4 linked regions of the Rattus norvegicus genome follow. The protein of the gene in region 3 interacts with the protein of the main gene of each other region in a biochemical or structural test. Links are inferred from orthologs where the notes say so. Each region holds a gene or a part of one and is shown on either strand. Other genes may lie near its edges.

The links. The genes of interacting proteins can lie anywhere in the genome.
Region 1: the proteins of Src (region 3) and Muc1 form a complex in vitro, tested with the Homo sapiens proteins (2 studies listed by BioGRID, with this or other methods). The link is inferred for Rattus norvegicus from reciprocal best matches to the Homo sapiens genes SRC and MUC1.
Region 2: of the proteins of Src (region 3) and Shc1, one has a biochemical effect on the other in vitro, tested with the Homo sapiens proteins (4 studies listed by BioGRID and IntAct, with this or other methods). The link is inferred for Rattus norvegicus from reciprocal best matches to the Homo sapiens genes SRC and SHC1.
Region 4: the proteins of Src (region 3) and Dok1 form a complex in vitro, tested with the Homo sapiens proteins (2 studies listed by BioGRID, with this or other methods). The link is inferred for Rattus norvegicus from reciprocal best matches to the Homo sapiens genes SRC and DOK1.

What each region holds. Positions count from the first base shown.
Region 1 is NC_086020.1:176,932,423-176,936,549, reverse strand, and holds the start of Muc1 (mucin-1 precursor), read right to left. Parts: upstream 2,801-4,127; 5' UTR 2,740-2,800; coding exon 2,682-2,739; intron 1,912-2,681; coding exon 536-1,911; intron 437-535; coding exon 384-436; intron 243-383; coding exon 109-242; intron 1-108. UniProt on the Homo sapiens protein: The alpha subunit has cell adhesive properties. Can act both as an adhesion and an anti-adhesion protein. May provide a protective layer on epithelial cells against bacterial and enzyme attack.
Region 2 is NC_086020.1:177,137,356-177,141,347, forward strand, and holds the start of Shc1 (SHC-transforming protein 1), read left to right. Parts: upstream 1-1,192; 5' UTR 1,193-1,400; coding exon 1,401-1,895; intron 1,896-2,454; coding exon 2,455-2,525; intron 2,526-3,009; coding exon 3,010-3,073; intron 3,074-3,202; coding exon 3,203-3,322; intron 3,323-3,698; coding exon 3,699-3,752; intron 3,753-3,992. UniProt on the Homo sapiens protein: Signaling adapter that couples activated growth factor receptors to signaling pathways. Participates in a signaling cascade initiated by activated KIT and KITLG/SCF.
Region 3 is NC_086021.1:166,547,688-166,551,187, reverse strand, and holds part of Src (proto-oncogene tyrosine-protein kinase Src), read right to left. Parts: intron 599-3,500; coding exon 500-598; intron 332-499; coding exon 228-331; intron 1-227. UniProt on the Homo sapiens protein: Non-receptor protein tyrosine kinase which is activated following engagement of many different classes of cellular receptors including immune response receptors, integrins and other adhesion receptors, receptor protein tyrosine kinases, G protein-coupled receptors as well as cytokine receptors.
Region 4 is NC_086022.1:117,094,835-117,099,002, forward strand, and holds Dok1 (docking protein 1), read right to left. Parts: upstream 2,801-4,168; 5' UTR 2,793-2,800; coding exon 2,733-2,792; intron 2,714-2,732; exon of another isoform or gene 2,565-2,713; intron 2,470-2,564; exon of another isoform or gene 2,465-2,469; coding exon of another isoform or gene 2,426-2,464; coding exon 2,126-2,425; intron 1,987-2,125; coding exon 1,893-1,986; intron 1,777-1,892; coding exon 1,592-1,776; intron 1,422-1,591; coding exon 618-1,421; 3' UTR 337-617; downstream 1-336. UniProt on the Homo sapiens protein: DOK proteins are enzymatically inert adaptor or scaffolding proteins. They provide a docking platform for the assembly of multimolecular signaling complexes. DOK1 appears to be a negative regulator of the insulin signaling pathway.

The sequences.
Region 1 (4,127 bases), on a different chromosome or scaffold from region 3:
AGAAGGGAAAACAGTGGTCAGGGAAGTCCCCAAAGGAGGTGGATTTCCCACTCCCAGCACCAAAGGTAAACAGGTGGTGCCAGGGTGCAGCTGGGGCTGTCACCTCACCATTGACTTCCGAGATAGTCAGATTATAGTCAGCTGCCTCCTTCTTATGTTGTACGAGCTGTGACTTCACTTCAGAGGCACTGAAAGTGCCCTCCCGGAAAATCACAGTCGATGCTACCACCACCGAGCCTGACCTGGTCGCAGGAAATAGGGGGCTCAGATCGACTCTCTGCTTATAGCTCAGCATCCCCACCCCACCCGCCACACCCCCATCCCGGACATCACAAAGTTGCGGGACTGTCCATCCCTCCCACAGGGCAAATCCAGAATTATACCTGAACTTGATAGTAGAGACCCCCAGAAAGTCTCCGTTAAAAACCTGCAGAAACTGGGATAGGAGGAGAAGACTCGGGTTTGATGTAAAAGATTCGTGTGGTCCCGAAGAGCTATATCAGGGCAGCATGGCCGAGACCAGGCTGATACCCACCAATCCGGAAATGTTCCTCTTCAGTTCTTGGTAGTAGCGGGAGCTGGGGTCTTCCAGGGAAGAATTAAATGGGTGGTTCCGAATGTAAAAAGACAACGAGAAGAAGGAGACCCCGACAGACAACTGGGGTGAGCTGTTACTGGAGAAGGTAGGGAAGACCGCTGTGCTGTAGTAAGAGCTGCTGCTAACAGTACTGTGGCTGGAGATGGCGGGGATGGTGGGAGAGATGGGCTGCTGACTTGGAACTGAAGACTGAGTGTCATTGCGGACTGGAGTTGTGGCCACCGCAGAGGTATCATGGGCTGGACTGGTGGCTAAGCCCAACACAGAACTGGTAGTTCGCACCAAGGAGCCATTGTGGTCTGGGGTGATAGCTGACGTAGCCGTGGTAGAAGAGAATGGGGTGCCACTGTACACTGGAGTGGTGGCCATGTCTGATTCAGAGCTATTAGTTGTAGCTGAGGAACCACTGTACACCGGACTGGTGGCTGAGCTCAATGCAGACCAGGTAGTTGGGACCATGATGCCATTGTGGGTTGGAGTGCTAGCTAAGTCTGATACAGCCTTGGTGGTTTGGGTGGAAGCACCGCTGAGGACTGCAGTGCTGGAGGAGTCCCCTGGAGGGCTGGTGGCTGGGGACGAGGTGCCACTGTGGATTGCAGTGCTGGAGGAGTCCAATATAGGGCTGGTGGCTGGGGACGAGGTGCCACTGGTGACTGCAGTGCTGGTGGAGTCCTCTGGAGGGCTGGTGGCTGGGGACGAGGTGCCACTGGTGACTGCAGTGCTGGTGGAGTCCTCTGGAGGGCTGGTGGCTGGGGACGAGGTGCCACTGAGGACTGCAGTGCTGGAGGAGTCCAATATAGGGCTGGTGGCTGGGGACGAGGTGCCACTGGTGACTGCAGTGCTGGAGGAGTCCCCTGGAGGGCTGGTGGCTGGGGACGAGGTGCCACTGGTGACTGCAGTGCTGGAGGAGTCCTCTGGAGGGCTGGTGGCTGAGGAAGAGGTGCCACTGGTGACTGCAGTGCTGGTGGAGTCCCCTGGAGAGCTGGTGGCTGGGAACGAGGTGCTACTATGAACTGGGGAGGTGGTGGAGTCCACTGGAGGGCTGGTGGCTGAGGAAGAGGCACCATTGGGGACTGCAGTGCTGGAGGAGTCCCCTGGAGGGCTGGTGGCTGGATCTGAGTCACCACTGAGGACTGCAGTGCTGGTGGAGTCTCCTGGAGGGCTGGTGGCTGGGAACGAGGTGCTACTATGAACTGGAGAGGTGGTGGAGTCCACTGGAGGGCTGGTGGCTGAGGAAGAGGCACCACTGGGGACTGCAGTGCTGAAGGAGTCCCCTGGAAGGCTGGTGGTTGAGGAGGAGGCACCACTGCGGACTGGAGTGATAGTCGATGTTAAGGAAACTGCTGGTGTCCTGAGATAAGGTGACACTATTTTTCTGACTTGGAAGGGCAGGAAAACCTGAGCCAGAGTGGAAGATGAGGGGGTTTCATGCTCACAGCACCAATCAACAGAGTTGGACACTGGGTTGCTTTAGATAGCATGTGTGATGTTTTAGTTCTGGCTAGAGCCAGAGTTTAAAAAAAAAAGGGGGGGGGGAAACCTACTGGGTTAATGAATAAAATCAGAGCAAGAAGAAAAATATAAACTCCGAAACCAAAGTAACCCCGGAAGGAAGGGGGGTCAGGTTAACATCAGGTAGTCCTACGTTTGCCTTCATCCTTCCTGACAGCCTCCCTCCTCAAAGGTCTCACCTCTGCTTCTGGCTCATTCACTCCTCTACTGCTTATCTCTGAGACAGGTATTCATACTGTACCCTAGGCTGGCCTTGAACTCTCTGTGAACCCGAGTGTCCTGAGTGTGGGAATTGTAGACTGGAACCACACGGCCCCATTCTTCCACTCCGGAGCTGGAGCTGCTTCTCCTGACGCAGCCTCTCTTCTCTACTCCCCACGAAGAGCATTTGCCTACTCTGGTGCCCACTCTCTTGGGGGAGTCACCTCTTCTCAGCCTCCTTCCTTAGCCTCTTTCCCTCCGGCACATACTGGGCCATCCCTGAGTGGATGGCCACTTATGACTCTCATTGTGCCAGAAAGACTGAGTCCCACCTGAACAGTGCAGCCCCTCCCCACCTTGTACCTCTCACCTTTTAGGCTTGCTAGAAGTAGCAGCAGGAGGAGAGGAACCCGTATGCCCGGGGTCATGGTGGTGGTGAACAGGCGGGAAAGGGGTAGAAACAGACTCAAGGCTGGCGCTGCGTGTGTGCGCTGGAACAGGGCTGGTGCCTGCTGCTTTATACCAGTCCCCCTCCCGCCCTAGGCACAGTCAGAGCAGGTGACAGGTAACAAAACTCCACCCCCTCCCCTATTCTTTCCTCCTCCTCCCCAGTCATTCCTGTGTAGGGTACTTGGGCTCCAATCACTCAACCATATGACAACCTGTTTATTCTCCATTTGGCCTCCCACTTTTACCAACCACTCTTTGAGTACCCCAGGTGTGTATGTGGAGGAAATCTGGGGGCCCTGGCTCTGGTTTTAGTCCCAGAGCAACAGCCAAGAAGAGTAAGGGAAACACAGAAAGACCCTGGACAACAAGGGAAGCCCGTTTCCCGCTCCCCCTCCCCGATCCCTTTTCCTATTCTCTCTGAGGATCCTTAAAAACCACTTCTCATAAGTTGAGAGGACATAAGGGGGATAATAGTGGACAGGTCGCTAGTTTTAGCGCCCCCCCCCCCCGCCACTTCCCGGAACAGCCCCACCCTTCTAACCGCTCCCTGTACTCTGAAAACCACAGTCCCCGCCCCTGCCAGACTTTCCAGTAGCCTGGGTCTCTCTTTGACTTTCTCCGGAGAAAGGCGATGGGGGAAATTTCCACTTAAAAAGGACGAAACTCCAGGCTCCACTGAAGCCTAAGGTCCTTCCTACTCAACCCTCCACCTTGAGTGGCAGGCTGACCAGTCCTTCTACCCGGAAACGCCTGCCCTCTAGTGGTCACCGCGAGCGTCGCGCGGCGTACTCGCACAGGCTGAAGGGTTGCTTCTGTGTAGGGAGGTTTTGGAAGCACAGCCCAAGTTGAGGCACATATCTTAGGGAAGTTAGTTGTGTCTTGGCGGAAAGAATCAACGCCTTCGACAGATAAAAATGCACAGTGTCGGGAAGAAGCAGGGATCATTACTTGGGTTACTCTGACTTCTGGGGATGGTGTTTGGGGACAGGGGATAAGTGGTTGGAGCCCCAAGGTATGTGGAAGGGGGTATCGAGTTGTGTGATGACACTGAATTGGCAAAGGGGGACGGGACAGGTTATGTACAGGTAGCTAGATATTCAGGAGGCAAAGAGTAGGTGGGGCGATCGTGGAACTTGGGAACTTCGAGATGTATCTGGAAGAGGAACAATATTTGGGGCGAACAAGCACGTGGAACAAGGCAAACCCGTGTGTGTGTGTGTGTGTGTGTGTGTGTGTGTGTGTGTGTGTGTGTGTGTGTGTGTGTGTGTGTGTGTTTAGGGAGAACCGAGAGGTATTCTGACGGGCAGAAATAGTTGGGTTTGGGTGAACAAGCACGTGGAACAAGGCAAACCCGTGTGTGTGTGTG
Region 2 (3,992 bases), on a different chromosome or scaffold from region 3:
CCAGACAAACAAAAAAGTACCTTTTACTTCTTGTGTTTGGTTACTTTTTAAAAAGTGAATAAAGCTATAGTTTAATCCGGAGCTATTTTGATTGGTCACTTTCTTTAACTTCCTGAATGGCCTTCAGCAGAGCTGTGGCAGGAAACTGTGGGCAAAGAAATAGGGGTTTGGTATTATTATGCACTTATGGCCAGATTCCAGCTTCTGATATCCCTTTCTCCTTCCTGTCTTTATTAACACAGATTTGTTTATGGCCCTATTATCCCTTTGTGGCTTGTAGGCACCAGTTCTGTGTGTTTCTTTCTCCTACCTCCAAGGCCAACTCCTCTACTAGTGTGAAGTACACTGTCTGGTGGGGTGTGTAGCCTATAAGGCGTAAAAGTATATCTGTAGGTCTAAGGGGTGGCCAGATCTCTATATCCTCTGGGGGCTTTCCTCACTAGGCCTCTGGAAGAGCACCCCCACCCCCAAGTCTGTTGGTCCTTGGTGACTTGTAGAAACAGCCTTGCTCTAGCTCTTGTCTGGTAGCTCCCAGATGCACCACCCGAATTAGCCTTTATTCCTATTTCAGCTTTGTCTTTCCTCTGGGCCTCGCAGTACATCCACTGGGACTACTTCCCTTCCTGGTTCTCAACTCTGGTCCTCAGCTGTTGGGGTGGATGCTAATGGCCCAGGTTCCCTGGAGCTACCACCTCACTCACTGTATGGTGGGGGTGGGGGTGGTCTGGGCTAGGGGGTGAGGGATTCACGTCTTCAGCCGGGTCTGGAAAGGAAATGCTAAACTCTGAGGGACAACTTCCCTCCCCCCACTCCCCGCCCAGCAGCTTCTGTTTCCTTCCTATCCCTCCCAGTCTTCCCGGTCTTCCTGCTCTCTTTGGCTTGCCCAGGTCTGTTTGGATTGGTCCAGAGTTTTCCTTAACTCCTTCCTTTCTTTTTTCTCTTTTGCTTATTCTTCCTTTCTTTCTTGCCCGGCACCTCCTCCTTCCCAGACAGATCACTAGTTGTTTGTATTGGGCTGGGGAGAGTGGCCTGGCTAACACAAATTATGTGGGGAGGTGTCTCAACCCCTCTGAGCCTGTGAGTCAGCACTGTCCTGGGGATTGGTTTCTCTCCTTAGTTCCCCGCCCCTGGGGAGGAGCCAGTCAGCTCTGGGTCCAGCCTGTACTCCTCAGCCAGACGAGGTTTCCTAGCTGGGCTGGGCCAGGATGTGGTTTGAAACTGTCTAGGTCTGAGTTGGGAGAGCAGAGGTCACTTGTCCTTCGCCTCCCCAGGTCCTCTGTTATCACCCGGCTGCCGAGGTCAGACTAGGCTAAGGGTCTGGGGATGCCCCCTGCCTGGCCCCCTTGCCTGAATTGGCAGGGGGGCCGGGCCGGGCAGCAGCCCCCCTTCTCACCCCAGCCATGGATCTTCTACCCCCCAAGCCGAAGTACAACCCACTTCGGAATGAGTCTCTGTCATCGCTGGAGGAGGGGGCTTCAGGGTCTACTCCACCGGAGGAGCTGCCTTCCCCATCAGCCTCATCCCTGGGACCCATTCTGCCTCCTCTGCCGGGGGACGATAGCCCGACTACCCTGTGTTCCTTCTTTCCCCGGATGAGCAACTTGAAGCTGGCCAATCCTGCTGGGGGGCGCCTGGGACCTAAAGGGGAGCCAGGAAAAGCTGCAGAAGATGGGGAAGGGAGTGCAGGAGCAGCCCTTCGGGACTCAGGCCTCTTGCCCCTCCTCCAGGACATGAACAAGCTGAGTGGAGGCGGCGGGCGCAGGACTCGGGTAGAAGGGGGCCAGCTGGGGGGCGAGGAGTGGACCAGACACGGGAGCTTTGTCAATAAGCCCACACGAGGCTGGCTGCATCCCAACGACAAAGTCATGGGACCTGGGGTTTCCTACTTGGTTCGGGTGAGTGCATATCCCCTTTTCTACTCTCCCCATACCCCTTCCAGTTCCTCCAGATTTGTCGGGACTTCCTGCTCTTCCCCCTGGAACATCTGTGCCATTCTCTTAGTTCTTAAACCTGGTGCATTCCTTCTCCAGTTCTCTGCCCTTAATTTAGCCTGCGAATCTTCTGCCTTTCCTCCTTTGGTCCCCACTCCCCAGTTTACACAATGCTCAAGCACATCAGAGGCTTTTGGTAAAAGTTGAATGAAAATGACTTCTTGATTCTTCCCTTTAGACTCCTCCTTTTTCCAGAGATGTCACTCCATCCTACCCAATACCTGCTACTCCTCTCATAATGTCTCTGTGGTGCATGAAGTTCCTCTTTGCGGTCTTTCTTTCCTCTTTCCCCTTTCCCCTTCACAGTACACCTATGGGGTGGTAGCCCCAGGCAGTAGGAAAGCTACTTCACCTTTACTTTCCTTAGGGATAAGGCAAAGCCCTAGAACCTTCTGCAAAGGGCTGGCAAGTGTGGGGTGGGGGATGGGGACAGCTGATCCATTCTTCCCTCCTTCCCCTACAGTACATGGGTTGCGTGGAGGTCTTACAGTCAATGCGAGCCCTTGACTTCAATACCCGGACTCAGGTCACCAGGTTAGTGGGGATTGAAGTTACAGAAATCTCAGCCAGGGAGAGGAGGAAGTTGGGCATTTGGTGGTGGTGCTGATGGCGATTTCTCGTGGGTGGTCAGAGAACTGAAAGTTACAGAAGTAGTTCTGACTGGAAGGAGCCAGCTCTGGTGTGGAGCACCACCTCACCTAACTATCCAGCCTTGGAGACTGTGGGAAGATGGACTAGAAAAGGCAGCAGGGGTAGGAGGTTGCTGATGCTTTAGGGAAGGAGATGGAACATTCGGGAGCTGGGAAGAGGTGGAGCTGCAGCCATTGAGGCCCTAACCCAATCAGCCAGGAAGCGGCCCCTCAGTGTCATCAAATATTAAAGGCCCTTAATTCAATCCACCACGACAAAGAGCCTGGAGTGCTCTGGGAATCTGGCCTGGTCTTCCCTTCCCCCAGCTCTGTGGCAGCCCTAGCCAGGGGGAGGCCCATGGTGGGTCTGAGTACTCCTGTTTCTCCAGGGAGGCTATCAGTTTGGTGTGTGAAGCTGTGCCTGGTGCCAAAGGGGCGATGAGGAGGAGAAAGGTATGTGTGGTTGGTGTTGGGGCTGGGTGATTGGAGGCAGGGGAAGGCATGTGCAGGGCGTGTCGGGAGAAGGTGAGTATTTCCTTATGCTGGGAAAACTCAGATTCTGAGACTCTGGGCCCTTCCTAGCCCTGCAGCCGCCCACTCAGCTCTATCCTGGGAAGGAGTAACCTGAAGTTTGCTGGAATGCCGATCACTCTCACTGTGTCTACCAGCAGCCTTAACCTCATGGCAGCAGACTGCAAACAGGTGGGTAGGCTGCTCGAAGGAACCAGGGATAGTTAGTTATGGGAGCATCAAGTGGGGATTGGAGGCCAAAAACTTGCAGTCTTCAGGAAGAACTGGAGAGTAGAAGAGGAAGAAGTTAGGAAGGTTGAGTATAGTGATACCTTTTATCCTAGCACCCAGGAGGCCAAGGCAGAGGAATCTGAGTTCTAGTCAGGGCTACATAGTGAGACCTTGTGCCTCACCCCACCAAAAGAAGAAAGAAATTAGGAGAATGCAGGGTAAAAGGCCAAGAGAATGATCCCGGGGCTCCAAGGTTCTATGCTGGGGTGGGTTCACGTGGAGCCCTGAGGCTGCCTGACCTTTACCATTCCTTCCTTCTCCACCCTGCCCTCATCAGATCATTGCCAACCATCACATGCAATCTATCTCATTCGCGTCTGGTGGGGATCCGGTGAGTTGGGGAACAGAGAAAAGACGGGTGGGGAAGAAGAAACTAGGGGCTGAAATGATGCTGGCTAGAGGCTGGGAGTGGTGGCCACACAAGAATCCCAGCACTCAAGAGGCAGGATAGCCAGGGCCATGCAGAGTAATCCTTCTTGAAAAACCAAAAGAGGGAGGGAGAAAATACTGGCTAAAGAAGTGGTGCACAAGGATTGTGAAATATGTAAAAAGGACAGAGTTAGTGGGTCAG
Region 3 (3,500 bases):
CAACCTGTACCCACTCCCTGTGTGAAAACCGAGGCCAGAGGGAAGCCACCTCTGGATCACTCAGTCTTCCTCAAGTACCACGGTAACTTTAATTCCTGCTATCTCCTCCACTGAAAGGCTCTCCCCTCCCCATCCCGTGCACCAAACTCAGATTCACTCTCCAATACCCAGCTCAAATAATACCCTCGAAGCTGAGTTCTGCCAGCCACAGGGGTGCTCAAGCATACCTTTTGTGGTCTCACTCTCCCTCACGAGGAAGGTCCCTCTGGGGTTCTCGGCGTTGAGAAGTAGCCGCTCTGATTCCCGTCTAGTGATCTTGCCAAAGTACCACCTGGAGTGGGAGGGACAAGTGTGTCTGTTGACCAGGGTTCGCTGCCCACAATGCTGGCCCTGGGTACTGGGGTTTCAGGGTAGCCAACCTGCTGCCCACTCAGGCCCACAAAGGACCCTGTACTAGGGGTGGCAGTGGCAGCAGACCATAGCCGAACAACATACTCACTCCTCAGCCTGGATGGAGTCGGAGGGCGCCACATAGTTACTGGGGATGTAACCGGTCTGTCCGGTGCTCAGCGAGTGTGCCAGCCACCAGTCTCCCTCTCTGAGCAGAAGGGAGGGAGCAAAAAATGATGTCACCGGGGGAGCAGGGTCGGTGACCCTGACTTCCCCAGGTGCATGGCCAGGTTCTGTAGCAAGGGAAGCAGGGGCAGCCTGTGTACACAGCAAGCCAGCAGGAACTGGCCTGGAACCTCTACTTCCCAGACACACTGACCCAGAGGGATGGCGCCTAAAACCTCAGCAGAACTGAGCCCCATCCCACCCAAGACTGAACTGTCCAGAAGTGCACAGCGGCCTGCAGGTGCCAAGGGCTGCCTTAGGAGAGAGGAAGCTCCCTGTTGCGGGGAGGAGAAGGGAGAAGCAAGGTTTACATGAGACAGATGCCAGATTAGACCTTCAAAGTCTCCCCAAGCCCTGAGAGCCCTAACGCCCAATGGAGACAAGGGCTAGCCCGTCTGGCCCAGCAATAATTCAGTCCCATCCCTTCAAACAAGCAATGCTTGCCCCTGTCCCAAATCACAGCTCACTCCTAAAAGTCCTTAACAGAACTACAGGCCTCCTCCTGCAGCCTACCCCTGTCTGTGGGGAAAGTGAAGCCAGAGAGAACTGGGCCATGCCCAAAGTCACACAGCAAGTCACGGGAACAGAGGTGGCTGAGCCCAGTGCTCAGGACCCTCTACACTAACTGCCCCAGGAAGAGGGGGGAGGGAGGTGGGAGGAGGGCAAGAAGGAGGAGGGATCCCAGCAGGGCTCGGGCTCTGGGCCTGGGCAGGAGGGGGAAGGGCAGAAGTACCTTTGCAGCCATCTGAATGTGAACCAGGTCTGGCTGGAGCAGGGGTCCAGAGACAGAGGAGGGAGGAGCAAGCGAGAGCCCGACAGGAGAGAAGAGGCAGAGATGGGGGTGGTGAGAGGCCGTGATGGGGGGGGGGGGGCAAGGGAGAGAGAGCGAGAGAGCCAGGCAGTGCTGGGGACACTGGGAATGGGGTGTAGGGGGCAGCCAGAGACCTCACATCCAAAGCAACCAAAGGGGACGGGGAGAAGGTTGGATGTTTGAGGGAAGATCAGAGGGCAAGGCCTGGGAGCTAGGGTCCAGCCCTTCCCACACCCCCTGTACAGACGGAAAGACAGGGTGGAGAAGCAAAGGGCTCTGTGCAAGGTCACACAGCCAGGCCAGGTGCCTCCCTGTGGGTACCATGAGGCTCAATGACTCTGCAGCTCTTCATGCAAGGCTTGGGGAGTAGACAAGATGAGGGTCAAATTATTCAGCTGGTGGCCTTGGCCCTGCCTTGATCCTGAGAAGATTACACAGCATCCCACCCTGGTCCAGAGACAGAAAGGTCCTGGCCTTGAGTCACACAGTCCCAACTTGACGGCACTGGAGGTCTGAGCACGTGTTTGCCCAGCTTCACAGATGGAGAAGTTGAGGCCAGGAGCAAGCTGAGCTGGAGGAGCTTGAAGGAAAGGCTGGAGGCGGGCGGGGAGAGCATCAGACTCTGTCTTGGCCAATGCTGGGCCAGAGGGGTCCCTTCTAAATGGACATGCGCAGTGAAGAGGGTGTGAGTGGAGTCATGAGGGACACAGACACAGGCAAGGTGCAAGCTCACCCAGCACCCAAAGGTCCACCCTTGCTTAGCACACATTTCCGTCCGGCTTGACCTCAGACACCATCCAACAAGGAAGAAGGCAAGCCCCCCCCCCCCCCCCCCGGGGCTGGGGATTTAGCTCAGTGGTAGAGCGCTTACCTAGGAAGCGCAAGGCCCTGGGTTCGGTCCCCAGCTCCGAAAAAAAGAACCAAAAAAAAAAAAAAAAAAAGAAGGCAAGGCCCCCACCCTAGCTGAGGAAACTATATTTGAGAGAGGTGGAAAACCCAGTCACTCTACTAAGAGAGACCAGTGTTTTCTTTATAGAGTAGAGGAAACTGAGGCACAGAGGAGGAGATGATTTGCCCAAAGCCACACGCATAGTCAATGGCAGAGAGAGGCTGAAATCAGGGGTCCCTAATGTCCACAGCCAAATGCAAGTTCTCCAAATCTCCAGAAGCCAGGGGACAAGAGACAGGGAGACAGGAGGACTGGGACAGAAGACAGGCTTGTACCAGGATGGGACCCAGGTTTGACATCAGAGACCACAGAATGAGGTGGCCAAACTATAGCCAGAGCTAGCAAAACAGCCTGACATCAGCCCACGGGTCCCTAGGGGTTCACTGGCCTGTTTGGGGGATACCTCTCCAAGAAAATGAACAGAGAAGTATCCCACTGCTCCCGCCCCCATCTGAAGCCTGAGCTCCCTCGCTGGCTCCCAGAAGGTCAAAGGTCAGTGTACAGACCAACATGGAGCAGGTGCTAATACGCATAAAACTGTTGCTATCACAAGAGCTAAACAGGAAGGAAGCACTAAAACCACAGCTCCTAGTGTGCCTGCCTGTACTGCCCCGGCCCCCCAGAGCTGAGTAGTTCCTGGAGAAACACTGTGTGACCTTGAACAAATAGCATGCCCTCTCTGGGCATGTGCTCACATTTATAAAGGAGGCAATATTTAGTCTCTAGCAAGTAGAGTGTGGACATAGCTTCAGGCTGGGGTAGGGATGACCACCTAGGCTTCAGTGGACCTATGCCTCGGGTAGCCAGGGACTGGCTGGCCAGGGGTCTGGCACTCTCCCATGATAGGGGCCCCAGCATCTCAGCTAGGAAGAGGTGCCAGGCCAAGATGACCTGAGAGTAATGACATTTACCGCCAGGCAGAACTGTTTGACACCTGAACTTTTCTGAGCCTGGGTAGAGCAGGGGTTGGTCAGGAAGTCCCAGCAGCAGCCCTGTGGCCCAATCCACCACCCCGGGGCCTCCAGTGGATAAGACTCCTTTGTGACTGACTCTAACTGCCTGGCTGCACAGGTCCCCACCATTCTAAAAGGCAACAAAGAGGGAGAAAGAAACTGTACCCCAAAG
Region 4 (4,168 bases), on a different chromosome or scaffold from region 3:
AAGTGCCTTCTATGCTTTAGATTACACTAAGAGCTGGGGAAGTGTGTCTTATCTCGTGCCAGCTGCCTTTCTGTAGCACAGCCAAATTCTCACACTTGGTGTAAGGGCAGCAGAGGAGAGTTAAGAATGGCAGGTAACAGACAACAGGGTCAATGAGTCAGAGACCGGCCCAGGAGAGGCTATGACCACCCAGGCTGTGAATCACCACACTGTAGGCTTCCCTCCCTGGGGCCCTTCATCCTTCCACGGTCCCCAACATATTTCTGCTTCCTCCCTTGACCCCTCCCCACCCTCCCAGCGCATGCCTGCCCCAGTGTCTATTCATGCGCAGAGACCTTTTCAATCAAGCCACCTTTAATGAGATTTGCCTTATAAATTAAAACGTATCTGGCAAAGAACAAGAGTGAGGATCCATACTGGCCTCCCCAAAGTGTCCTCACTCTGACCAGTGGACCTCTCCCACAGGCCTAGTCAGTCCAGCAGCCTTGTTTCTTCTACTCCCACAACTTCCGGGGACTGGTCATCACTTGACTCCTCTGGTCCCCCGGCCCCTCCCACCCTCAGGTTTCTCTGATCTTCAGTGCCACCACCCCATGGACCTCCTATCAGCAACTGTCTCAGGTGGAACCCTCTGACTTGACCCCCACCCTGTCATTCCCTACTCTAGAGAGTCCACAGTCCCATCTCCCTGGGGTCCCACTTTTCTGGACCTGGCTGTACAGAGCTGTATCTGAGCCTTTGCTGCCACTGCCAGCTGTGGTACCAGATTCAGGAAGGATCAAGCCCTGTGGCTTGGGGGCAGGGGTAGGCTTTGAGCTCCGAGGGGGTGGCACAGCGTAGTCGTCGGTGGCGGGGTTGTAAGGGAGCTCATAGCCCTCTTCCTTCAGCCGAGCCTGGCACCACCATGCATCCTTAGGCTCCTGAGGCAGATCATAAAGGCCCCGGAGAGGGGCAGGGGCCAGGCCCTCAGGCTCATCATAGATGGGGTCCTCTTTGGAGTCTATCAGCTTGGTTTTCAGCAACTGCTGCTGCACGTGCCCATACAAATCCCAATAGAGAGGTTTCTTCCGCTGCACCCCTTCCCCTGCCCCAGCAGGGGTGCTGCCCAGGGGGTCTGAATACAAAGAGTCCTGAGAAGGGCCTGGAGGAATTCGCAGGGAGTCTAAAGGCTCTGCATATAGGGCTGGAGGGCTGCCCAGGGGTTCCTGGGGAACAGGAGTGGGAGCCATCTTCCCCTCTGTCTCCCCATCATGGGAGTCAGTTCTGGTGATATCTTGTCCCTGTCCCACCTTTCCTTGGGCTTTCTGCTGCTGGATAGCAGCCTCAACTGCCTGAAAGATGTCATTTCCCTGGGCAGTCTGGAAGGTGAAGGTCCCAGGGCCAGAGGGGCAGCGGCGACCCGCTTCAAAGGAGAACATTACCTGAGGGTGTGGAGGGAAACAGGTTAGGAGTGTCTAAAGAAATGAGTCACAGGTCTGACCAATTTAGTATATCTGCACAGAAGAGACTACCTGGGAATGGAGTTGTCACCTACAGCTACCCAACCCAGTAGCCCTCCCCGATGGTCATCCTCCCAGACAGCCCCATGCACCTTGTCTCGGCCATAGCGTCGCAACAGAGTGTAGGGCCAGAAAAGGAGCGGCTCCAGGATTTGACTCTGTGCACCCAAAGTCAGAAGGGTCAGCTTCTCAGCTTCTACCCTCAGTACGTAGGAGCCTTGCAAGCCGCAGCGTTCAGAAGCCTCGGTCTTCTGCGAGGTTACCCAGAATTGGGATCCTGGAAGAACACAGGAAGAGAAGGAGCGCCGGGGCAGGTTGGGGACTTGGTAGACTCCAATCACTATCTCCCCAAGGGCACCTCTTCACCCCACTCCATTTCTGCCAGACTAATACCTTCCCAGGTGGGGCTGTACAGCGAATTCTCCAGCATCTCCAGGGCAGAAAACTTAGGTGGGTTCTCCGTCTGAGCCAAAGCCCAGCCGCCTTTCTGCAGAAAAGAGAACATCGAGGACCATATACATAATTCTCTTGGGTCTAGGGTAGGTGCAAGAAGTCCAATGCCGTTATAGTAGTTTCATCCTCGCAGTGCCCCTTAGGCCCAGGGGTGACCACCCCCAGACACTCACCGGAAAAGCGGTTCTGCATAAAATCTGCACCCAGGCAGTGCTGGATGCGGCGTCCGCTGCAAGCAGGTGCGAGCGTTGTGCGGTGTCCAGGCGGAAGGCAGAGGCGCCGGGCTCAGGGGGACTCTCCACAGTCACAGGCACCACGCTCACACATTCAGCCAGGCGTATCATCTTGCAGTCTAGACGGCGAGAGCCGCCTCGACCCCCTCCAGAGCTCGACCCCTTGTGATCAAAGAATTCCAGCCGCGCCACGCCGTGAGGGCTGGCTGGGTAAAGCACAGCCCAAGTTTTCTTCCACCTCTGGGAAAGAACGAAAGACTCGAGAGTGAGCGGCAGCATGCGCCCTACAAGGGAGAAGAGACCCACGCAGGCCGATCTGAGTCTGGGGATTCCCAGGCTGGGCTACTTTCCCAAAGATAATGCCATCCCAAATCCGCACCAAGGAGGGCACAGCCCGAGACTTTCAAGGGAACGAACGTCTTAGGGGCTCTACGATTGCTCGCGCGCCGTTCCGACCTTCTTCCGGCCCATTCCCTCTTTCTGGATTCTTTCACCCATTTCTAGTCCAGGGGAGTTTTGCCATCCCCCCACGACACAAACAAACTACCTTGGTCCCGAAGCGCTGACTCTGCAGAAAAAGCGGACCCTCCATCAAAGCCCCGTCCATGGCCAAGGCGATTCCTTCCGCGCTTCCTGGCCCTGGGGGCGGGGCTGGGCGGGGCTGCAGGGTGCCGGAGGCGTGTCCGCCCCTCCCGGGCCCCTGCGGCGGTGATGCGGGGAGGGGGGGCGGGGACGGAGGGGTCGAAGGAAAACGAGCCGTCAGGAAGAACCCAAGGGGAGCCTTTATCTCACCGCACGCACAGTGGCACTACTCAGGGAAGTCGCGGTCACCAACTAAAGGCCCTAGTGCCTGGGGGTGGAAGCTGGGAGTGACGACATATATTTAACGTGACATCAGAGTGAAGGCCGTGACATCACCTGCAGGGACTTTGGGGTCGCCATAATGACCAAGAGGGCCCTCAGGACATTAGTTTTCTTTGTGGGACCTTGTTCCCATGGTCCAGCTCTGGAATTGGACTGGTCTGTTGATACTCTGTCTAGCTGGAGATGTGGAGAAACGGCTACGGGCTGAAAAGCTTCCTGCGGCCACAGGGGCCATCCTGCTGTCCCGAAACCATTTGCAAGTCCAGCATCCTGAACGCCGCTGCCTGGCCTCCCAACCTGCGGGAAAAGAAAGCTTCATTGAGCCCGGAGGAGTGGGAGGGGGTGGCGTGGCTGCAGCCAGCTCCACAGGGGAGGGGAAGATCTAGAGGAGGGAACTGGCCTGGCCCGAATGGAGGGAGAAAGCGGAATGTGGGAGGGCTCTAGAGGACGTAGGAGGGACCAACGAAGAGGGGGGAGGAAGGGGGGGTCCAGTCTCCCCTGGCCGAACACTTTTTTTCTGAGAAGTCCTGAAAGTAATCTCCAGGACCAGGACTCTGCTTCCAGCCTCTGGAGTTCTGCCTAGTCGAAGGTAGGGGAGTTACAGCCGGCCAGCGGGAAGAGGAGTTGTGGATGGAGAGGATGGTGGACCAGGGGAAAGGCTGATTTGGGATGGAGTCGGGGAAGCCAACCAACTGACAGTTTTATTCTTGCTAAAGGAGCGAAACAGCAAAGCAGAGAGCTGAGCGGATTGTTGGGGATGGAGACTTCAGGGTGCAGTTTGTAGGCCCTAAGCTGAACACCGGGCTTCGGAGCCAAATGCCCCCAGAACAAAGCTGTCTTGTCTGAGTTGGGGGAAGCAATTCAGGGCCCCCCTTACTGGGAAGGACTGTTTTCAGCCTTGGATACAGAAGGCCTGAGCTAAGGAGCTAGCCCTAGCTTCTGGTTGCCCAGTGACAGAAAGAGAGGTGTTACAGGGAGCTTGGATAACTCCACACCAAACCCTGCCCAGCTTGAAGTCTAGATCTCCTGGAGCCCCTGACTCTGCAGCATATTTGGGAGCCCATGTGCTAGGGAGGGTGGCAGAAGGTTCTCCTGCTCTGCTTAGCCTCAGCCCTTTCT